Linked DNA regions of Ovis aries. The protein of the gene in region 3 purifies or fractionates together with the protein of the main gene of each other region. This does not show direct contact. Links are inferred from orthologs where the notes say so. Each region holds a gene or a part of one and is shown on either strand. Other genes may lie near its edges.

Region 1 (8,524 bases), on a different chromosome or scaffold from region 3:
TGCCTAGCCTGACAACACTGTTCCTTCTTATTCTTGAATTGTTGTTCTTTAGTTGTCCTCTGAAATCCCAACTCTTCCTTCCCCTTCAAGAATTTTAGTGCATTCTCTCCAATTGCTGGTTTTGTGATCAGTTCATAGTCCCTTTTCCTGACTATTGAATTTTTTCCATTTGGACCTCAGGGTATATACAATCCACCTGAAGTGGCAGTATCCTGCCATTTAAAAGTATAAGAGACTCCTTCTATCAGATGTCACTATGAATGACCATTACAGTTGAGACAACCTCCTACATTCCCTCTTCCCTTAATGGACAAGCAAGGAAATTTTGCCACCAGAGAACACTTATTTGAGCCTTGTTTTCACTAGACTGAGCTAAAATTGATGTGACTATCAATATAAATGGCTCAGACAGTAAAGAATCCACCTGTAATATGGGGGACCTGGGTTCGATCCCTGGGTTGGGAAGGTCCCCTGGAGAAGGGAACGGCAACCCACTCCAGTACTCTTGCCTGAAGACTTCCATGGACAGAGATATCTGGCAGACTGCAGTCCATGAGGTCGCAACAAGTCAGACACGACTGAGCGACTTTCACACACACATATCAATATAAATGAAATCTCTATCAATATGAGTTGTCTTCCTTTTCCTTACTAACATAAATTTCTATAGGGAGTAGAATATGCCCATTTTAATACCAAAATTCTCAGATTACCAGAAGCTAGAAGCTGCCATGTGACATCTCTCCCTCCAATGAGATATGTGTCAAGGCCATCAGGTGGGACTTCGGGTAACCAGTAACTGTTTAAAAAGAAACAGACATACATGGCTGCTCATTTCTCCTTATGCCTATCCCCCATCCCCTTTCTACTTATCCATAAGGCCAACTTAAATTTGTAACTCTCACCTTGACCAAAAACATGTGAAAAATAAATGCTTATTTGCTGTATGCCACTGATGTAGTTTTCAATAGTGGTTATGCAGCATTATTCTAACAATAGCTGATTGAGACAATAAGCTAGACTCAAATCATGGAAGCCTACAACTAGGAGAAGACAAAATGTAAGAGGCAATATTGACCTCTGAGGCTACAGTGCCTGAGTTTATTGCCCAGCTCTATTGCTTTTACTCACGTTGATTTTCACCAACTTGATTATCCTTTATCGTGGTTTCTTAATTGTAAATTAGGAACAATAATGGCAGAATTGTTTAGCATTTCATGAGATCTGGTACACAACAGATAATTAATATGCAATATTATTATTTAATATGGGACCAGGGAGGGAGGGTTAGATTTTACTTAATAGGCCAGTGGTATTTTACACACTTCCATGGAAGACTGCTGTTCTGTCAGCTGGGGTGTTCCCTGATAAATCAGAATAATAGGGGTCTTTTCCTAGTATGCAGATTAATTTAAGTAAGTATAACTTTTCTTCTCTTTTATGTTTTTAAATCTCTCCCGATTGATACAACTTGTTTGCAAGACAAAAACATGTAAATGAACAAGTAGGATTATTATTAAGAGAAAAAATTCAAAAACACCAATTAGTTGGGCATTCTGTCTTTTAAATAGGCATGTGTGCCCCAAATTGTCATTTTATATTATACAAGCAAAATACAATATTTTCTCCCAGGAAACTGGTTCCTAGTTCCTGTGATGGAATTAAAAATATGTTTCATGACAGTTTACAAATAATACAGTATTATGCAAAAATCACAATAATTTGCAGCTTCTCTACCTGCTTAAGATCTCAAGCAATTTAAAAATAATTCTTTGTCAGAAGCAGGGAACAGAAAAGAGTTGATTAATGATAGGGACATTAGGGAAATGGGGAAAAGTTGATAACATTTAGATATAGGTGGTAAGGGAATGGAGAGATTCTTAAATGTTAGTGCAAATAAAAATTACCCTGAGAGCTTAGTAAAATGTATACAGAATCTAGAATAGTGATCTAGAATCAACATTTTTAACAAATTCCATTTCTGATTCTGATTCAAGTAGCTAGCTGCAGAAACACTAGAATGATTAGAATGCTCTAATCATTTGCAATCATTAGTTTAACTCTGCTATTTCAGAATTATTTAATACATTGCCATAACCAGTAAGCATGTTGCAGGTGGAAAGCTAAGGATAAATGATGACTCCAAGATTTTACATCTGAACACCTGAGTAAAGAATAATGGCATTAATCAAGATGAGGAAGACAATGGTAAAACGAGACATTGTAAGGAAGGAAAGATGGTGCTTTTGTTTTATTTTTTGGTGTTGAATATTGGATATTTTGAGGAGTGGAAAGGAGTAGCATTAAATACTAACCTTCCATGTAAGGCTCTGAATAAGATTGTGGATAAGGGAGAGAAGAAACCCAAGGAGCCACTTCATTATTGATAAATGTCCAGGTTGGAAACTAAAATTAGTGTGTGTCACCAATGGTCTTTCTCACACTGGAACCCAGCATTAAGATGCCTAGTCCTGGCAATTCCACATGGGTCTGCATGAGTCTATTACCCACCAGCAGCTAGAAGACACTATACTGACCACCTTACCTACAATAGTCCTTTACACAATTTTTACTACAGACTCTGTACTTGTCATTTTTAACATGCACTTCAAAATAAGAATGAATGTTACTATTATGTTATTTCCATCTGACCCTAAGGGGCTATGAGAGCAAGGATGATATCTTGTCTACTGTTCAATACTCAAATACAGTTCTGAAGGAGTAGAAAGTCTAAAAAATTTGTTGAATGAGGAAGTTTTTAAAAGAACAGATCCTAACTTCAATTTCTGGTCTGTTGTTTTTGTTTATAATCTGGTCACCCCAAAGTTCCATATTACTGATGTCAAAGTTAAACAGGCAGAGACTTATTCAAGACGATCACAACAGAAAAGAGGGGCCAGGACTCTGTCTGAACTCAATTCAACAGAAAGCTTAAGATATTTTAAGAGTAGGAAAACTCTCAGGTCAGTTCTGTTTACCCAAAGGAAATTCCGACTCTTTTTGACCTCATGCACTGTAGCCCACCAGGCTCCTCTGTCCATGGGATTTTCCAGGCAATGATACTTGGGTGGGTTGCCATTTCCTTCTTCAGGGGATTTTCCCAACGCAGGGGTTGAATCCGGGTCTCCTGCACTGCAGGCGGATGCTTTACCATCTGAGCTACTAGGGAAGCCTTCACAAAGGAAAAGTAAAATTTCTCTAAGCTTCGTGACGGGAGGCAGTTTTACAACTTGAAACAAAGCGCCTGCCTAACTTAGGCTTCTATGCTTCCAAGGAGACTGGGAGTTACGGGTGCTGTCTCCTTTTCTGCCATTTTAAAAGGATGACTCCTAGTTCAAGAAAGACAGCCCTGGGTTGTAACACGGGAAAGAACTTTTAAAAAGATTTATATCCCCAAAATGCAGAGAATCAATTACCAGTTACCAATACCTGTACCAATTATTGCTACAGTTAACAGTTTTCTAACGTAACGCTCTAAGGAAAGGGAGGTCAAGGACCCAGAGGCAGGAAAAAAATACCTGATAAAATGTGTACCTGAGCTGAGGGAAACGTCAAGGCGGTCTTTAATAAATGATTAGCTGTATTTATGCAGTTTTGCACCAAAAAACTCAAAGTATGAGCTTCCACTCTTTCCCGGTTTCTTCCTGCAAAGAGTTGCACACTTGACACAACTTTTTCCTTTCTTTCTAGTGCGCCAACCTCCCTGTCTAGTAAAATGTGTACCTGAGCTGAGGGAAACGTCAAGGTGGTCTTTAATAAATGATTGGCCGTGTTTCTGCACTTTTGCACCAACGAACTCAAAAGATGAACTTCCAATCTCTCCTGGTTTCTTCCTGCAAAGAGTTGCTGCACACTTGACACAACTGTTTACTTTTTTTCTAGTGACCTAACAACCCAGTCTAGTAAAATATGTACCTGAGCTGAGGGAAACGCCAAGGCAGTCTTTAATAAGTAACTGGTTGTATTTCTTCAGTTTTGCACCAACGAACTCATATTACAAGCTTCCACTCTCTCCTGGATTCTTCCCGCAAAGCGTTGCTGCACACTTGACACAACTCTCTTCCCGTTTGCTTTCCTTCTAGGGAGCAAACCGCAGGCTCCCTCCCCTCGACTTCCGGAAGTGCGCGGGGCGCAAACGGTCTCACGCGCCTGACGTCACGGAACGCGCCAGCCCCGGAAGGTTAGCAACCGGGAGCGTCCCTAGTAGCAGGGGGCTGCTGAGATGTACGAACTTCCGGTTGTCGACAGCAGCTGCAGCTGCCGCCTCCGCCACCTGCGGCGGGCCAGGTCTTCGCCCGGGCCTCAGTCAGCGTTTCTCCCCCGTCTCTTCAGTTAACACGCCCATGGTCCCGCCTGGAGCCAGGGCGGCGGGCGCCGGAGCTCGCGCGCGGTGAGGGAGCCGGCCGCGGACCATGCAGCCGACGCTCTGCAGCTGCTGCCTCAGCCGCGCCCTGGCCTCGGCGCTCCTGCTGTCCCTGCTGCTGCCCGAATTGAGCGGGCCCTCCGCGGGACGGCCGCCGGCAGCGCGGGCCGCGCCCGACCCCCAGCCCGCGGCGCGCGGGCCGCGCACCCGGCCGCCTCCGCCGCCCGGGCCCTCCGCCGCCCGGCCCGCGGGCCGCGCTCCGGCCTTGGAAGCCGCGGGCTCGCGGGGAGCCGAGGGCGGCAATGGCAGCACGCCCGGGGCGGGGCCGGCCGCCGACGACCCTGGCGGGAAGGCGGGGGCCGGGGGCCCGGCGGGCGGCGTCCTGGCCGTGAGCCCCGACCCCGGCGACAAGCCCATGACCCAGCGGGCCCTGACCGTGCTGATGGTGGTGAGCGGCGCGGTGCTGGTGTACTTCGTCGTCAGGACGGTCAGGTGAGGCGAAGCCTCCGCGAGCCTCCCCGGCAGGCCTGAGGCGCGCTTGTCTGCCGACCTCCTCCCACCCCCTCAGTCACGGTGCCTGCTGAGTGAGATTGTGACGAGGACTGTCTTGAAAGCCTGTGGTACCTTTGGGAGTGTTCAGACCGCCAAGTTCGTGCTGCCTCCCTTTTCATGTGTAAACTATCAATTAGCACCGAACCTCTATATCAATATTTATTTGAGTAAATTGATAGTAATGCAGAATGATCTTTAAGGATGATTTATAAAATGGAAAAAAGAAGTTCTTTTAACAGCAGTTTCCTGCTGTTGACTTTTAACTTGCCACCATCGGTTGTACCTTATGAAGTTTCTTGCTTTCCACCTTTTCTGAACCTGGAAACTGACAACTGCGTAGGTTCAATCATTGTTAGAGTCCCCATTAGAAACATCTAGCATTCATTTTGCATGACACTAAATAATGGACATGAGTTTGAGTAAACTCCGGGAGTTGGTGATGGACAGGGAGGCATGGCGTGCTGCAGTCCATGGGGTCGCAAAGAGTCTGAGCGACTGAACTGAAATAATATGGTGTGAAATATTACCAATTTCTTGATAAGGTGGAAAACTGATACCTGTGCAGCAAAGGGAAAAAAGTCATAAATATGATCCCGTTATAATATTGGAGAGTATGTTTAATATCTTAACAACTATATATGTTTTAACTTTACAAAATTTGGATTAGTAAATGGATAGACTTACTTTTTTTAAACTTCCAAAAAGCTTTTCTAAAATGAATTCATCTGTAAATAATTCTAAGTCATTCAGAAGCTTAAAGTTACAAATGAATAGTTTTTTGAGCTTATTCTTAATATAGAATGTTAGAGAATTAGTTAAATTTCAGATTTGTTACAAATATGGACACTTAAACCACGTCTTTAACTTTACCTAGGATAAAACTAACCTAGGAGAATAAAGTGATGTCCCACGATATATAATAATCATCACTGATTGTACAATCCATCATTTGCTTCGTTTGAATTTTTTTCCATGATGTTTGTGTCCAAATCTGTGATCAGCCTTTTGATTAAATCAGGTCCTTACATTGTACCAGGTTATGAATAAGTAAATGACTATCACTTATTTTTCTACTCCCTTTAATGCCTTATCAAGTAGAAAAGGAATTATATAGGTCAATTGGTGATATTTTATATTGTCGTAAGTAACTTCCACTTGATACGTTCTATTGTTACAGAAGTAAAGTTATATTATGGCATGAATCATGGTATTATAACATGCCAAATATGTAATGAGACCGATTTGGAAAAGTCATGATAAAGCCTCTTTAATTGAGTTGGGGACCACCTCTGAAGCGTTGAAATGCAGAGCTAAGAACTCGCTGTTAGAAGAAGCCGAGAGAAGAGCTAAGGAAGCTCTAGGTAGTTCCCTCCTATTTACTGCGGTAGAGGTAGTTGTGTGGGAAGGTACTGGTTTGTTTTCCAAATTATTTCACTTTTTTTCTCCCCTATAACTGCCTACCTTCAACCATTTCATATATTTCTTTAAATGGATTTACTTAAAGTTTCCTTTTAAACATATCTGTTTATTATTTTGTGAGTGAAAAACATTATTTAAGCGAACATTCCTTGGCTTAAATAACTAACTGAAAAAGCACAGCGTAACAGGGAACCCTGGAGGGTGGTAGGGTTCTCTGAGACCTGTTCAGGTATCTGCAATATTGAAACTATTTTCAAAATAATACATTCCCTTATAAGTTTATGACTTCCCTGGTGGCTTAGACAGTAAAGCATCTGCCTACAATGCCGGAGACCGGGGTTCAATCCCTGAGTTGGGAAGATCTCCTGGAGAAGGAAATGGCAACCCACTCCAGTATTCATGTCGGGAAAATCCCATGGACGGAGGAGCCTGGTAGGCTACAGTCCATGGGGTCGCAAAGAGTCAGATATGACTGAGTGACTTCACTATAAGTTTATAGGACCCAAGAAGTTTATTGATAATAGTTTCAAATTCCGCAGTGCAGCTAACTCATAAGAAACTAACTCTTGTCGCGTTTTGGTGTTCTATCAAAAAAAAAATGTTAACACCAGAATCTGAAAAGCTATTAAAATGTACCTCCATTTTCCAAGCTCACATCTACTGTACCTGGATTTTCTTCACATCCTTCAACTAGACAACGCATAGCAAATGATTGAAGGCTGAAGCAGATATGAAAATCTAGCAGTTTCCTATTTTTCTAATTTCTCTCTCTTCATTTTCTATCTCGTTCTCTCTATTTAAGCCAGACATTAACAAGATTTGAAAAAAAAAAAACCTAAATCTGTGCCATTTTTCACCTTTGTTGGTTTTCTTTTTGACTATATTTTTCACAAAAAGCTATGTTAATCTGTAGTGGATTTATTATCATTTTAAAAAGCAAATGGTATTTAAAATTTTCTTAGGTTTAATTAATATATTACGAATTGATATTTATAATCCACATAATTATAAGCTATTCAGGGTCTTAAATAATTTTTAAGAATGTAAAGCAATTTTAAGATCTAATGCTTGACAATCACTGGTGGAAACATTATTTGAGCTGCCATAGTATAGGTTCACAAAACCCAGCAAATCCAGGCCCACTTTTATTAAAGAGAAAGCTAGAAAATGTTCATGAGGTGTTACAGGCATATAACCACCAAACTGAAACTTTCTTCTTGATATGAAAAAAATATTAGAAGAAAATTGAGCAGTAATTATTCTTCTCAACATGTAATTGTTATTTAATGCTGTATATTTCCCATATAGCATTGGAGTACCCTAAGTATTGTTTCATACACAAAATAAATGATGAGTCTGATGATTGATCTTTTTTTATTTTGCTTTTACCTTATTTGTAATCTTAACATATAAATATTTCTTGCCATGGATTTTCCATCTTCATTTCTGTAAAGCTTATAAGCGTGCAGTCTTTTCAGTCTGATTCTATTGGATGAGTCACTAACATTGTCTGTTAACAGCAAAATTCTGAATCTATGGCTAAGAAAAATTGGACTCTTTAACTAGCATCTAGTACATTCATTCAGGCCAACTCCTAAATATAGTTGGCCCCCTGATGTCCAACTTGATTGATGCTAACAATGTCTGGGCAATGTTCAGAACAGAACTCATTCTTTTTGCTTCCAGATTATGAAAATCATTTATTTTGATGAATATCCATTTTGACTCTCCACTTCCAAAATAGGTGTGGCAACACAGCAGCATTATTTATTTGTGCCAACAGGGAAGAATGGGCCAAAAATCATCCTTTAGTTAACTGATATGAGAAAATACTGAGAATATTTTACTTGTAAAGGACTTGAACTCCATAAAACTTCCATACTGTTTTTAATCTAATTCAGTTATTAAGAATGTGTAACTAGAAGTAACTTCTCCTCTGAGTCTAGAACTATTCCAAAGAAAAATTAGATTCTCCCTGTAGAAATTGTAATATATATATAGAAGGAATAAAATAGGCTTCCTAAGATTAGTATATAGTCTTTACGAAAAGAGACTCTCGTTGTATGTCTTATTCTCGATTATATCTGCAGTGCTGAACATTATGTACAAAATGTGGTAGGCACTGGGTAAGCAGTTGCCTAATATATGAGCATTCTTGGTTCTTAATCAGGGATCAGTGGGTCTAGGGAA
Region 2 (8,182 bases), on a different chromosome or scaffold from region 3:
ACCTCTTGGAATGCCAGGAGCATGCAGCACTTCGCCCAGCTTACATGAGTACTGGTTTCAGCACTTTTAAAGAGGAGGGGACTGTGTCCAAGAGGGATGTCTCAAGAGAAACAATGCCCAAGGAACTGCAAGTCCAAAATGGCACAGCTGGAGTCCAGAATGGATGACCTGGAGGTCATCTCTCTCCATCCCTTCTTTTCCAGAAAAGAAAATGGAGGCCCAGAGCGGGAAGTGAGGTCGCTGCACATAGAACTTCTGACCACTCTGCAGACTCCCCAGTGGCCTCAGAAGCCGGGCACTGGTGCCCAGACACTGGTATGAAAAATGGGACTGAACCCAGCCCCTACACCCACCTGTTGTGTGACTCTCTGCAATTGAGAGCTTCCCTGAGCCACCTGCAAGTTTCAGGGCCTTTAGAGATAATGCGTGTGAGATCCTGGCCTGACAGCTGGCACCTGCTAGGAACTCAGCGAACTGTAGCTATTATTATAACCGTTGTTGGTTTCAAAGTTCACTGCTGCCGCTGCTGCTGCTACTGCTAGGCACCACGAAGTCTCTTAGGTGTTGCTTTGCTTCTACAGTTCTGCCGGAGTCATTCCTAGCTAGGCCCAGAGAGGAAACAATGCTCCCGGTCTGAACACTGAAATCCATCTCAGGGAGGGCTGAGCCTCAGTTCTGTGTCTATTTGGGATTAGAATCTGGAAGAATGACCATGCGCTGTAGCCACGGTGGCAGCTGCGCGTTCCCAACTCTTCCAGTGTGCCTGTGACTAACAACTCTTCACTCAACCTCTGTCTATATCAAATTTCTGGGGGTCAAATGAGCGTGAAATCACTTGCCCCCTTAGCCCCACCCCCCACCCCCAAGGGAAGTTTCCTGTGCTTATTTTTAAAGAGGGGCTGCCTGTGAAGTCTAACACCCCCCAGAGAGGCTACACTCCTGTGGTTTTTTTCTTTTTTGGTGAGGAGTGAGTGGGGACCAACCTAGACAGCATATTAAAAGCAGAGACATTACTTTGCCAACAAAGGTCTGTCTAGTCAAGGCTATGGTTTTCCTAGTAGTCATGTATGGATGTGAGAGTTGGACTACAAAGAAAGCTGAGTGCCGAAGAATTGATGTTTTTGAACTGTGGTGTTGGAGAAGACTCTTGAGAATCCCTTGGACTGCAAGGAGATCCAACCAGTCCATCCTAAAGGAAATCAGTCCTGAATATTCATTGGAAGGACTGATGCTGAAGCTGAAACTCCAATACTTTGGCTACCTGATGCGAAGAGCTGACTCATTTGAAAAGACCCTGATGCTGGGAAAGATTGAAGGCGGGAGAAGGGGACAACAGAGGATGAGATGGTTGGATGGCATCACTGACTCAATGGGCATGGGTTTGAGTAAGCTCCGGGAGTTGGTGATGGACACGGAGGCCTGGCGTGCTGCAGTCCATGGTGTCACAAAGAGTCAAACATGACTGAGCAACTGAACTGAACTGACCTGAGTGGGGAAGTTTGTCTTTGGGACAGAGTTACCAGGCAGTGACAATTTGGGGCAGATGTATGGCATCCTCCCCACTGAGCCCTGGGGAATAAGGGGTGAGACTCACAGAAATCCTGACAAATTCCAGATCCTCCTTCCCTCCCTCCCCTCATGGAGCCCTCCTTCTGGAGCCATCAGAAACCCATCAGCCTGATTTTGGTTTGGCCTGATCCAGCTTCATCCCCCATGCTGAAGGGATGTCTTTGGATTCCACATCCTCTTACCCGGTTCTTCATGACCAAAGGCAACTAGACATGCAAAAACCAGGCTGATGGAGGGAGCAGCCTACAGCAACAGAGGGCCATTCTCCGAGTCTTCCCATCTGGCTGACCTGAGAGCCTGTATGGAGGTGGGGACACCAGGATGGCAGTTCCCTTACATTTTCTCCTTGTCTGGAGATGCCTGTGGGGCCTGATTCCTAAGGAGCAAGGTCTCCCTGGCTTCCCAGACAGAACATGACCCCTGGATCTGCCCCATGATTCATGCAGAAACCAGAGAGTGGCTGGACAGTGGTTTTCTTGGTCTGTGGAAATGAATCCTGGTCCCTGCTGCAGTCTAATTAAACTCTCCAGGCAAGGCAGACGGGGGACAGCAAGGCTGGCAGGAATCCCCGCACCTTCTCCTATTGCTCCTGTTACCATCTCCTCTTGCCTCAGATTCCCTGCTACTCTTACAGAGCTCTTGGTGAGATCCTTTTTTGTCCATGACCCTTCTTAGGGTCACATTCTTGCAAGGGTCATGTTTGGATTTGTCCTCGTGGTGAGACTTCAGAGTGAGGAAAGGATATTGCAGTTATAACGATGACTTTTCTGCAGCCAGAAAACCCACTCAGGTTTTCTTCCTTCAATTTACTTCACTCCAGTGGAAATGTATGGAGCGTCTACTACATGCACATTTCAGTCCTGCTGCTGGAGAAACAGGGACGGAGGGGTGCTGATGGAGGTGGCAGGATAAAGCATGAGCTGTGACCTCACCATCTGCCAGCTTCATTTAGAGGCCAGGACCCGAGGTGGTCTTTCAGACCAGCCAGTGTCCAGGAGCACCAGGAGGACACAAACTCCTTGACAACCCTGCCTCTCACATGCAAGGGCCTCCTGGGTCCAGACTGCCTCAGCCTGGCCAACCTCAACTCCCACCAAGAACTTTCCAGATCCTGGTACCCAGCACCACCAGGTACCTCTCTTCTTTGAAAGCATCAAGTACTTTCATCCTCTGGACGTTTTCTCAGGCTGTTCATGGCGCTCACACCCTGCCCTGTCCTCCCCTTTCCTACCTCTTAAGACTTTATTCGAAGAATTTATCCACTTTCTTTGAGAAGCCTTTCCTTAAGACTGCCTTGCGGTACAGTATTTCTTCCTCTGTGACCTCTGCTTGGTTAGTTAAGTTAATATCTATTTAGTATCTAATATCTATTCCCTGAGTGTCTGTTTCATGCCTGATCCTGCGCTGGTCTCCTAGAACTAACTTAGCCCACCTTGCTGTCTGCTCGTAAGTGAGAGTAGTTCACACAGAGCCGGGGCAGAATCTCACTGGTTTCTGTGTCAGTGTTTTGAACTTTGCTTTAAGTGTCAGACGGAGAGGTAGTTTCTAGAATGGGCTCTGCCACTAATTAGTCGTGTGGCCTCGGGCGAATCTTCCAGCCTCTCTGGCCTCCTCCCTTCTTCCTGATGAAACGGTGACGACGATACCCCCGAGTTGTCCAGCGGACAACGAGGCGGGGTGGAGGGAAGCATCGTGAACGCTGGGAGCCCCAGGCGAACGGAAGAGGTGAGGTGGTTGTACCCACAATCTCCTTTCACTGGCTGCGAAGCCGCGTCTCTTCCCTTTCGCTCTCTTCGAATGTCAAGTGCACCGGCTTCCAATCCCTCCTCGGGGCGGGCCCTCTGGCGGCTCGGCATCCTAGGCTGCGGAGGATCCCGATGCAAACTCCAGACTCTCCTCGCACCCAGCTGCCCCTTCCCAAGGACTCGCCGAACACATCTTAAACCCTGTTCAGAGCGCAGCCCCAGAACTGCAGCTCCGCTGCGCGGGCCCCGGCCGGGGTCGCGCATCTCCAGCCGGTGACTCAGGGCCGCTCGGTCCGGGAGTGGGTGGAGGTAGGCGGGACAGACCCGGGCCGCGCGGGGGCAGGCGCCGGGAGCTCGGTCGCGGAGCAGTTGGAGTCGAGACTGGCTCTGGCCCGTCGCCATTCCGCCGCGGGCGTCTGCCTCGCCGGGCCTTCTTCTCGCGCCGCTTCGCATCCGCTGCGCTCCTTTCCCGGGGCGCAACGGCCCGGCAACCCGCCGGGGCTGGAGCGCGGGGCCGGCTCTGCGAGCGAATGAATGGGCGCCCGGGGGAGGCGCGCGCCTGGGGCTGAAGGGCATTAGGACCGTGAGGATCGCTCCGCGCTCCTGTCTCTCCCTATCACCCCCCCACCCCCCACCTCTCTCCTTTTTCTGCTCTGCAGGACCGAGCAGCCCCGCGCGAGCGAAAACAAACAGCTGGGGCTGAGAGTGGCCCCCGCCCCGGCCCCGAGAGCACGCCGGCCCGGGCCCCTACTCCGGGCGTCCGCCCGCCCACCATGAGGAAGATCCGCGCCAATGCCATCGCCATTCTGACCGTAGCCTGGATCCTGGGCACTTTCTACTACTTATGGCAGGACAACCGAGCCCACGCAGCATCCTCCGGCGGCCGGGGCGCAAAGAGGGCGGGCGGGAGGCCAGAGCAGCTCCGAGAGGACCGCACCATCCCGCTCATTGTGAGTACGCGCTGCGCGCGGGGTGGGCGGCCGGGGAGCCGCGGCGCGCGTCCTAGCCCCGCGCGGCTGCAGAGGGCGCGGGGCCGGGCCGGGGGCTGCGTGCCCGCTGCGCTCCGCCGGCTTTGTATACGTTGGAGCATTCCTGTCCGTTGTTATGGCAACCTCAGTCGGGCTAGCGGGGCCAGGGCGCAGGGATGGAGGGAGGGTGACAGCGGGTGGGGGCTGGGAGAAAGTACTGCAAGTTTGGTGGGCCCGGCGTGCGCACACGACTGGGAACGTGGCGGCGCTCTCGGCACTGCGCCGCGGGGCCCGGGGCGCAGGGGCCGGGAGTTGGGGGTTAGGGGTTACCCCCGCCTCATGCGTCCGGGAAGGCAGCTGGACCTTGCGCACGGCGAGCGGCAGTGAGAACCGCACGCTGCTAAGCGCGTGGGTGGCCGTGTTCTCCCCCTCTCCAGCCTCTTGGGGGCAAAAGACGTGGGGTGAGGACGCTGGGTAAGGCACGGTCACTAGGGGCTGTGCTGGACTTCGAGCCCCCTTCTCAGACCCGGTCAACTTGAACCTGCTTGTGATGAGGACTCCCTACGACTACCCCCAGGGTTCTCTGGATCCAGGAAAGGTCTCGTCCTGAAGGCGTCCCTCGCCCCAACACCAGTCCACCGCCACGGGTGAACTAGCAGTGTCTGGCCCCCCGACGTCAGTGCGAACGGCGGGGCATGGCTGGGGCTCGATGGAGGTGCAAGAGTGCCCTCCCGACGCTCTGGGGGCCTGGACTGGGGCGTGCCTGTCACTGCCTCCTCCAGGGCCCCGGGTGACAGCTGTGTGTGGCAGGGGCACCTGTTGAGACGGGAGGTTCCGGGACCCGCGGCAGGCGCGCTCGGGCGGGCCGCGTCCTTCGTATGGGGGCGGATGGTGGGCGAGACCCTTGGGCGACCCTCGGGTCTGGGCTAAGGGGCGGGGCCGCCTGGGGGAGCGGAGTGTGGGGCTGAGCATGGCCATTCCGAAAGGCCTGGCCTTGAGGAGCCCCCCAGGGAGGCGCAGGGTCAGGAGGGCGAAGGCTTGTGTGGAGGAGAATCTGAGGTCTTCGTGCCAAGGCAGCCGAATCCCAGGAAAACGGAGTGTTGTCTGTAGGGAGGTTGTCGTTGTGTGGAAGGCTCTCGTGTTCCCATCCTGTCCCTGATTCCGTGTCTTGTTACCTACCAGGAAAGAAGTAGCTATCCCCTGCAAAAGAGCATTTCCAGGCTGTGCCTGAGGAGACTTTGGGGCCCCTGGGCTTTCCCCCAGCCCCACTCCCCCATGCCCATCTACCCCTCTGGTGGAGCTCTCTGGGACTGCGCCCTGATTAGGTGAAACGCTCTGCTCTGAGCTGACGGTGCCTACCACTAGCACAACGTTTTCAAAGCACTTGTGGACGTTTGGACAGACAGGCTGATGAGGCAAAAAGCCTCCGGGGTCAAGATCCTGGAGAGTTGGGATCTGGGTGGACAGATAGATCAGAGTCAGAACTGGGCAAACCAGGAGCGGCCCCTGACCGACCCCGGGGAGCTTCCACAGCAAGGACTCATCCAAGCTGCTGCGTTCCTGCTCTCCAAGAGGGCCAGCTCTGGCCCAGAGTAGGCGGGCCTGGAGTGGCAGGGGAGACGCAGACTGCCCAAATGCTCTGTCCTTTTCTGTGGTGACGTGATGGGAGGAGGGTCTGAGCTCGAGGAAGAGGGGGAGGGGATGAGGGGGAATGGAAGGGAAGGGCACAGAGAAGCTAACTGCTGCTCAGAGCTCCAGGCTGGTCTCATCACAGGTGCCGGCGCTTCAAAATCCGGGCCAGGCCACTCAGACTGAGAGCCCCGGAGGGTGCCGGGGGCTTGGGGGCCGCTGCTGAATGTGGGTGGCACTCATTTTGAGGGGGTAGCAATTGGAGGTCATGGGAGCTGCAGTGAACGTCCTCTCCTTGTTCCCTTGTGGTCGGACTTGCGGCAGATTAGAAGAGGACTGTGAACTGGAAGCTGGGTTTCAAGTATGAAGAAGAAGCGGGGAGCCAGGAACGGAGGTGCAGGAAGAGAGGGAGAGTGGAAGTTCCCGGCAGTGAGCAGCAGAGCCTTCTCCGGCCACTCCAGGCATAGCCCGCTCCCTCGCTGTTCTTAGGCTTTAAGCCCAGGATGTCTGTTCCCTGGGCGTTGATCCCCAGTCACACCCTGCCTTTGACACAGCCTTGCATTCCCATATTCTGGGGTATTTCACTTCATTGGGATTCTCAGCTATCGGCCTGTCTCTTCATTGAGTGGCAGCTATCACTCAGGGACTGTGCAGGAAGCTTCATGCAACCCCACCTTGATGAGCACAGCAAGACTTAAGAAGTACTGTTAAATGAGTGAAGAACGATTTCTGCTCATCTCTGGGAGCCATCAATGATCCAAGTGTCATATCCCACTAATACTTTATTCCAGCTCCAGCCTGACTCTTAACTAGAGAGCTAGAGGAATGTATGTTCAGCTTCTCCAGGAGATAAACCCTTTGTTCAGCTTAAAAGGGGCAGGTGCAGCTGAAGATTTGCTTTCTGTCTGAAATCCATGGTTAACCTCTCACTGGTCTTCTTGCCATTTCAAAACATGTCCCTGTCTAGTTGGGCCAGAATGTGCCGCACGTGGATTTTCAGATTCTTAGGGAATGATGCAGCCAGCTCTGCTGACAGAGGCTAAGGAAATTCAGACAGGCGTCATCATCCCTCCCCTGAGGGATCAGAGAGCTGAGCTGAGAAAGGGAGGGTCTGCATAACAGCCTGGGCCAGGAGGCAGCTCTGGCTTCACAGTGTCTGGGTGATCCGAAGCCAGCCAAGTTGTTTCTGGACCTTGGAGACACTTGTTTGGCATTGTGGGGTGTCGGCATGGCAACCGGATGGCCCAGATTTCTGGGGGAGGTCCTGATTTTTAATATTCTGTCCTGCTGTCAGCCCATGTGTCATAAATTTTGATGTGCAAAACTGGTTATGGAATCTGTCAAACTAAAGAAGGAGAGATACTGACTTCATCAGTAAATGGCTGTTTGCGAGGTGGCAGGGTCTGTGATTTTCTCCATGCTGTGCTTTATGGGCAAGGCAGTGGATTTGAGGATATCTACTTGAATCTACACTGATGCTCGCTAGCTCTGGACAGCAGCCAAAGCAGGAGGTGGAGCAGACACAGCTGGCCTTCAGTCTTCGGGCCTCACAGCCGGGAAGAACATTTGTGATTGGTTTGGTTTTCCATATGTGAAGTCTCTATTAGGCATGGAGAGGGGGGCAGGATACTAAGGTGTTACACGGAATTTCACTTTACAGACATATTTTTAAAAGACTGTCCATTGTGGGTATTTTTAGGATAGGTGTACTCCTTTACAAGGTCTCCTATTTGAAACCATGGAAGTTTTAGGCAAGAGTGTTCCCAAGCTGGAGTTTTTTATCCTATCGGTGGGGTACTGCTCAGTGAGCATGGACAAAAACTTGTATCTCTGGACCTTAGTTATTTTGTGTGTTAAATTTGAGTGAGGGAATTCCCAGTGGTTTAAGATTTTGTGCTTTCCATACCAAGGGCATGGGTTTGATCCCTGGTCCAGGAACTAAGATCTCACAAGCCCTGCTATGTTTGGGATTTATTTAAATAAATAAATTTGGGTGAAATGATTTATAAGGTGTGTGGACCCTTGGGTACGTTGATGATAGTTTCATTTCTAGAAGCAGATAAATGGCTTTAAGGGAGTTCTTTTGAACAAAGTTGTAAGATTTATGGCTAATTGAGGGGCTACCCCTGTCTGGAGTAGTTCCCCTGGTAACCTTAGAGCCTGCACAGGGATCCCTGCTTACCTAGCAGAAGGGAATATAGATGATGACTTTTCCAGCACTGTTCCCTGAGAGTAGAGGCTTCAGTTCAGTCTGAATAGGTTTATATTTTA
Region 3 (7,750 bases):
TTTCTAAAGCATCGGTGGTGGAAAGTGATTCAGAGCCTGTGATCTGAGGACATCAGGCCCTTTCACGGGGGAGGAGGTCACACCCCGAGGGGAGGGGGCTTATCTCCTCTCCCCGCAACTTCCCCAGCTTGTGCCCACCAGACCCAGCTCTGTTTTTTTGCTGTACAGTACGGTGTGTTGGTCCAAGCATCACGTCCCTTGTTTGGGGGAGAAGAAAGCAGGGGACAAAGTGTGTGTAATAAAGTCACCTCGTGATTCAGCTGGAAAAGGAGCCTTGGTCTGGTCTGTCTGTTCCCTGTGGTCCTCATTCCCACATTTAGCAATGGGGTGCCTCCCCCGGAAGGATGAAGAGCGGGGAGGCAGGCTGAGCCCCGGCTTTGGGCGGGCCCCTTCTCAGTGTGGATGCGTAGATGCTTGAGTTTAAATTTTTAAAACAATGGGTTTTGATGATGGGCAACTTTGAAGCCTTTCCACCTTCCTTAAAGGATTGTAACCCAGTGTCCCTGGCTTGGTGTTAATAAATATATCCTACCGACAGCGGCTTTATACTTAAAACAGTAGATCTAACGGGTTAACAAATAGTGTCTTCACGGTTTCGGGTTTGTTGACCAGCGGGAGTGATTATAGAAAAGGGGTTTCCACGGAGCCTTTTCTGCCGCTGATGATGCAGGCTCACTGGGTCTCTTTGAACTTAAGTGTCTTGGATTTCAAGTTCCTAAATGTCACTGCGGTGACTGGCTTTGCTATGCTTTGGGGCTTCCCTGGTGCCTCAGATGGTAAAGAATCTGCCTGCAATGCCAGAGACCCAGGTTCGATCCCTGGGTCGGGAAGATCCCCTGAAGAAGGGAATGGCAACCCACTCCAGTATTCTTGGCTGGAGAATCCCAGGGACAGAGGAGCCTGGGGGCGGGCTGCGGTCCATGGGGTCGCAAAGAGTCGGACATGACTGAGCGACTAACACACACTCTTGCGAGCAAAGGGGTAGGTCACCACGCCACCCCCGGCTCCCAGTCAACCGCAGGGCCCTGGTTAAGAGGTGGCTTCTGGAGGCAAAGGACCCAGCTCGACTCCTGCACCCAAGATGGACTCGGGACTCGGAATTCAGGACTGTGACTTGGAACCAGGTGCTCTACCTCTCCGTTCTTTAAGTTCCTCGTTTGTTGAAGGGGATCGTCTCTACCTCATGGGGCTTTTGGAAGGAAGGAGGATTTGTTGAGACTAAGTGTTTAGTATTACCCACCATGTCACTGGTGAGGTTTTTCATTCCTAAACCCGACATTGGCTGTTTCTTCCGCAAAACGTCCTTCCCCTTTGCCGAATCCTCCTTGAAAAGTGCCCAGACCTCTCCTCTCCCAGGAAATCTCACGGGTCGACCCCTAATCCCACGCTGGGCTCAGCTGTTGCCTCTGTTAAGGGGTCACCCTTCATCCGCGGTGCTGGCATCTTACTAGACAGAGTGTGAAGATTTAACCAGCCTTCCCAGGAGAGGCGAGAACATTCACAGCTGGGGACGCACCCCTCCTCTCGGCGATGATTTATCTGGACTAATGTTCCTCGTTGCAGGCTCATTAGTGGCTGTTATCAAATGCTGGCTTATTTACCTTTCCCAGCACATCAGGCGCTTGCACCCTGCCGTTTCCCACCAGCGAGAGGCAGCCACAGCCGCGCTCACACTTCGGCGAGGACCCCGAGGCGAGGCGCGCATCCTCGTCTCGGTGCATCCTCGTCTCGGTTCATCAGACTTTACACCTCTCAACGTTCCTGTCACACACGTGTTTGGTGCTGGAATTTGCTCACGAGGCCCCCGGCTCCACTGCTGTCTGTGCGTCCCTTGCAGGAGACCCAGAGTCGGATCCTTCTGTGACGGGGACAGGAATGAGCGTGGGCCCCCCGTGCTTGTTTGGGACAGTGCACTTCTGTCCCTTTGATTCGAGGGCGTGGTCTGTGTCCAACCATCTGTCCTTCCTGAAGTTATGAAAATCCAAAAGGGAAGAGTTATTTGTTTTATTTTGTCTCTATCAACTCCCACCAGAGAGCATCCCTGTTGGGGCTGTGTGTTCAGAGGGGAGTCTGGGCGTCCGGGGTGTCCACTGACCGGCCCCAGAGACAGCTGAGTGCCCCCCATCACTGCATAGCTTCCTCTTTGCCCTGCACTCAGGTCTGGTTGCTTGTGTCTTTGGTGTTTATGGACTTAAAAGCCCACGTGTTTTGTTCAGTTCCAGGACAAGTCTCTGTAGCCTGAGTTATCAGGTATTGTCAACAATTAAAAAAAAAAAACAAAAACGAGGTGTGCTGAGAAGCACACACCTGTGCATACGCACACAAAGACGATCTAATATCGGAGGCAAGAAAGATGGTCCTAGCCTCCCCCGGTGGAGCAGTGGGTAAGAATCCGCCTGCCAGTGCAGGGGACTCGGGTTCGATTAAAACTGGGCTGTTGGGCCTTCCTGCTCACGGTGGACGTCCCAACGACGGGACCTGATGGCCTGTCTGCGTCATCCGTGTCAGGGTCTGCAGGCTCAGATGATGGAGAGACTCTCCTTTCCATTTGTGCCACTGCGGGTTTAAGATTTGATCAAGACCCTCCTCCCCAGGAAGCCTCCCTGATAGGTAAGGGGCTGCGAACCGCAGCCTGTATTCTCTGTCTCCGTCTTGCTCTCCCGTATTTCAGAGCCGGGCAGTTTGCCTCCATTAGGAATCAGATAAATCACCCATGGATATTTGGGATAATCTGGGCATTTGGGAAACCATGAGTATTTGGGATAATCTGACCCTAAGAACAGAGTAATGAATGAAGGCGTGGAGGACCAGATGGCTGCATTAGGAAGTTAGGAAATAGACCTCGTCCGGTAGCGCAAGCTCCCCCTCGCCGCTGCTTGTCCGAATCCTGACGTGCCTTCTTTCTAACGGCTCTCTCTTTATGTCCCTCTCTTTCTGCTCAGACAAGAGTGAGAACGGCGAGGCGTATCAGAGGAAGAGGGCCGTGGCCGCCGACCTCGCGGAGGGCCCCGCCGCCCCCGGGCCGCCTCGGGGCAGTGCGGCGCAGCCCGGCGGCAGCAGCTGGAGGCGGATCGCGCTGCTCATCCTGGCCATCACCATCCACAACATCCCAGGTGAGAGCCCGCGCGAGCGTCCGCAGGGGGCGCATCTCTGTCGGCTCGGCGACTTGAAGAGGGGCTTGGGCAGCCGTGGTGCGGGTCCTTTCTCCAGTGGTCCCCAGCCTTCTCGGCACCTGGGACCGGTTTAGCGGAAGACCGTTCTTCCGTGGACCGGCGCTGTGGGGATGGTCTGCGGATGATTCCAGTGCGCCGCGTTCCTGGTGCACTTCATGTCTAATCTAGGGCTGCGCTGATCTGACGGCAGGTGCCCGTCTCTGGCCGGAGGCTGGGGACCCCTGCTCCAGGGGGCTGTCGGGGAGGGAGCGCCAATCTTTCCTGAGTTTCTCTTTCGGGTTGCTGGCTCCGGATTGGCCATCGTATGTTCCAACTTCCTGTTCCAGTTACTGCAGACAATTTCACTCTAGCGTCCACCTCTGAGTTCCTTTCTTCGCATATTTGATACCAAGTTATTTGGGCACAGATTCATTAGCTGTTGCTTCTCTTAAACATGGAATATCTCTGGCTTTTCTTAAAGCTTTAAATTTTTAAAAAATGTTTGTTTATTTCTGGCTGCACTGGGTCTTAGTTGTGGCACGCGGGCTAAGGGATGAAACCCATATCGTCTGCACTGAAGGGCAAGTTCTTAACCACCGGACTACCAGGCAGGTCCCCCTGATGCTCTGTTAAAGTATTGAATTCAGTCCAGGTTCACTGTACGGCAGGTCAATAAATCAAGAGGTGAGCTGTTGGGACAAGGAATAGCAACTTTATTCGGGAAGCCAGCAAACCAGGAGGATGGTGGACTCATGTCCCAAAGAACCATCTTGCCTGAGTTAGAATTCAGGCTTCTTTTATACTGAAAGGGGAGAGAGTAAGGGAGAGCATTTGTTTCCTGGTTCTGGTCAGCCTCCGGGGGGATGTGTCCCTTCCTCCTCCTTGCAGTCATTCACAGGTGAGCCTGGTCAGGATGCTCATCACCTGAGACGCAGGGTTCCCAAAGATGGGCCAGGCAGATTAATAACCTGTACTCCCTGCAGAGGAAGCTGCAGAGGGCCATCAGAAAAGTCCTGTGTTATGTATGATTTAAGCTTACAGGCACATCCCTTTAGTGACTGACTTAGAATACAGAGGTTCCTCCCGATTGCATTGCGATCTTTCCTTTTTAGCATTTTGAACTAATTTGTTTCATGTCTTTGGATTTATTTTCATTGGGAAAAAAAAAACTTGTTGGTGTTCTATTTTAAAAATAATGTGTTTTATATAGAATAACTAGAAAAGACAGATAAACATACAGAAGATATTAAAAGCCAAATTGAGGGATGCTGGGGAATCCCTTGTGTTACATTTTAGAATTCCATCTCTGAAGTGAAGTGAAGTGAAGTCGCTCAGTCGTGTCCGACTCTTTGCCACCCCATGGACTGTAGCCTACCAGGCTCCTCAGTCCATGGGATTTTCCAGGCAAGAGTACTGGAGTGGGGTGCCATTTCCTTCTCCAGGGGATCTTCCTGACCCAGGGATCGAACCCGGGTCTCCCCACATTGTAGACAGATGCTTTACCATCTGAGCCACCAGGGATAGTTTATCTTGACAAATGGCTTGAGCTCTCTGAATCTCAGTGTTCTCGTCTATAAAGTGGAGATAATGCTATGACTGAGATGACTGGGCTATTCTTTACAAAGTGAACTACACTAATTTTGATAAATAAATAAGATTATATGTGTATATACACAGTATATACAGTATTTGAGCCGTCTGAGCATGTGAAAGTGGAAGCTGTTATTAGCATTAATAATGCTCCTGATTCCTTCAATCTTTTTTTGAAAGTATTTATTTAACTTCGTTTCTGGTTGTGCTGGGTCTGGGTTGCAGTAGTTTCTGGCACACAGGCTTAGTTGCCCCGAGGCGTGTGGGATCTTCGTACCCTGACCGGGATGAACACCCCCACCTGCACCGGCAGGTGGATTCTAAACCACTGGGCCTCCAGAGAAGTCCCCTCGCTCCTTCAGTCTTGGATTCTGAAATGTTCTGATTCATCTTTTGTAGTTTTGAAGCTCAAGTTTGAGTGATAACCTTGTTCAGGGATCAGCCCCGGGTGATATATTACGTGAGTCCTTGCAGAGTTCATAATGTCACCCTGTTACCCCAACACAGGAGGGAAGGCTGCTCTGGGCAGAGCTTGCCAGGGGCACATATTTCTCCTTGAAGCCCTTGTGAATACCGTTATCTTCTGGCTTCAGTCTGTGGGAGAAAAGGCCACAGCCAAACCGAGTTTATCCCTCGGTGGGTAACTTGAAATTCTTTTGCTTGTGCAATGAAGATTTTTGGGGGTCATTTTTAAAGAAGGGAAATTTCAATACATTATGTATTCCAGTATACGCACACACTCACGCACACACACATGTATGTATATGTGTATGTGTGTGCTCAGGCACTCAGTGGTGTCCGACTCTTTGTGGCCCCATGGACTGTAGCCCCCCAGGCTCCTCTGCCCATGGGATTTCCCAAGCAAGATCACTGGAGTGCGTTGCCATGCCTTCCAGGGGATCTTCCCAACCGAGGATCAAACGTGTGTCTCCCGCATTGGCAGGTGGGTTTTTTACCACTGCACCACTTGGGAAAACCTTATATGTGTGTGGGTTTGTCTGTTTATATACATATATCTGTGTGTGTATAGACATGAAGTGTGTTGAAAGACCAAGTGTCTAATTACTTTTTAGGCTCAGCCTTTCCTCTAGACGAGAAGTATTTTCCTCAAGTATTTCTATCCTGATCTTAGGAATGTCTATCCTATGATCATATAGGCTGATTGGCCTCCTTTTATTTTCAGCCTCTGTTTCCCTCTCATTTCCCTCTTGGCTTTTTCCCTTTGGGTAGAAGTCAAGATTTTGCCCCAAAACAGTCAGCTATTTTGATTGTTTTCCTGGTGCTTGCTATTCAGTATGGATTGAGATGATATCTTACGTGGGACCCCCAGGCACAAACCGGACCAAAGTGGGTTTGCCCCCGTGGAAAGATCTGGTCACACTCACCCCTAGTATTTTTCTTAAATTAATTAATTTTAAAATTAATTCATTTATTTGGCTGTGCCAGGTCCTAATTTCAGCATGCAGGATCCTTAGCTACAGCATGTAGAATCTAGTTCCCTGACCACGGACCAAACCTGGCTCTCCTGCTTCAGGCATGCACTATCGTAGCCACTGGACCTCTGAGGAAGTCCCACACCCCCAGTATCTTGACGAGCCCACTGGGAGACTAAGGGCTCTGCAGAGGGCAGTGCCCAAACCTCCACAGACATGTTCAACCTGTTAACTGCAGGTTGGAGTTAGCAGGTTGAACACGTTATTGGGGAAGAGCATTCTGGGTTCACTTCTCAATCCTTGGAGAAGAGAATTATGCTTATGCTGTATTTGCAGTCACAGTAGTTAGTGGCTTTCACGTAAGATTCCTTGCTTAACCAGCTGAAAAAGAATAAAGATCTAAATATAAATAGATGTGCTTCCCAAGACTCCAGTGGGGCCCAATCCCAGAGTCTCAAGCTCCTGACTTCAGTCCAAAGGAAAATTCACACACCCACCAGCACCTTCTGGCAGCTTCATCCCCTTTGATGAGCACCGTCTCAAGAGCTTCTCTGTCACCAACCTACCTTTGAAAAGGTCCCTTCTCTAACACTTGCCTTCATGGTTTATTAAAAATTTAACTAGAGCTTTGATGTTCCCGGAGACTCTGGGTTTTAAGATAGATTTTCACAGTGACTAAATGGATAATTGATTTTTTTGAAGTTTTTTTGTCTTGGCTGATTCAGTTTTACGTGTCCTGGGGATGACATTTTGTTTTAAAAAATTATTTTTTTAAATGTGGGCGTCGAAAGCTTGTTAGCATGTGTGCTGTCTCCCAGAGGTTCCTGGAGCTTGAGAATGCACACAGGTTCGTGAGCACACACCCAGGGCACTTGGGTTCATATTTAAGACAAAAGTGCAAGGATAAAAGCATCCTTAAACATCTGTGGCTCACAGTCCCGCGGAGACTCTGCTGAGAGCTGTGGACCCTCTTGGAAGAGACGGTTGCATGCAAACCCGTTTGCAGGCAGTTTGGGGTGTTCACAGGCTTCCCTGGTGGCTCAAACAGTAAAGAATCCGCCTGCAGTGCAGGAGACCCGGGTTCGATCCCTGAGTTTGGAAGATTCCCTGGAGAAAAGAGTGGCTACCCACTCCAGTATTCTTGCCTGGAGAATCCCACGGACAGGGGAGCCTGGCGGGCTACCGTCCCTAAGGTCACAGAGAGTCAGACACGACTGAGGGACTAACACTTCCAGTTCCTTTGGGTGTTTACGGACCTCACGAAGGCCACCCACAACTCCAGAGTAGGAAGGACCCCCTGCTTTAGAGAAACAAACTGTCCAGCTGGGCAGGCGCTTGAAATGTTTCCGGAGTAAAGGGTGATGACTGATGGAGGCCAGTAGACCTGAGCCCTGCCGGCCCAAAGCGGGGATGCAGAGACCCCCGAGGGGAGGGGCGTCTCCGCACTTCACAGTCCGTCTCTGGCTCAGCCTGGGGAGCTGAGTCTTTTGGAAAATGATCTCCCAAGGAAACCGGCACGTTTTCTGTGAATGCGACCCCACTCTGTAGCCTCAGGAGCCTCCTGTGTCTTAACGG

What was found.
Region 1: the proteins of SLC39A11 (region 3) and FAM174A purify together in Homo sapiens (co-immunoprecipitation; 3 studies listed by BioGRID and IntAct, counting the BioPlex papers as one, with this or other methods). This does not show direct contact. The link is inferred for Ovis aries from reciprocal best matches to the Homo sapiens genes SLC39A11 and FAM174A.
Region 2: the proteins of SLC39A11 (region 3) and GALNT16 purify together in Homo sapiens (co-immunoprecipitation; 3 studies listed by BioGRID and IntAct, counting the BioPlex papers as one, with this or other methods). This does not show direct contact. The link is inferred for Ovis aries from reciprocal best matches to the Homo sapiens genes SLC39A11 and GALNT16.

What each region holds. Positions count from the first base shown.
Region 1 is NC_056058.1:97,362,303-97,370,826, forward strand, and holds the start of FAM174A (membrane protein FAM174A), read left to right. Parts: upstream 1-4,219; 5' UTR 4,220-4,412; coding exon 4,413-4,855; intron 4,856-8,524.
Region 2 is NC_056060.1:79,142,867-79,151,048, forward strand, and holds the start of GALNT16 (polypeptide N-acetylgalactosaminyltransferase 16), read left to right. Parts: upstream 1-3,714; 5' UTR 3,715-4,087; coding exon 4,088-4,264; intron 4,265-8,182. UniProt on the Homo sapiens protein: Catalyzes the initial reaction in O-linked oligosaccharide biosynthesis, the transfer of an N-acetyl-D-galactosamine residue to a serine or threonine residue on the protein receptor.
Region 3 is NC_056064.1:57,585,156-57,592,905, forward strand, and holds part of SLC39A11 (zinc transporter ZIP11), read left to right. Parts: intron 1-2,942; coding exon 2,943-3,113; intron 3,114-7,750. UniProt on the Homo sapiens protein: Zinc importer that regulates cytosolic zinc concentrations either via zinc influx from the extracellular compartment or efflux from intracellular organelles such as Golgi apparatus. May transport copper ions as well.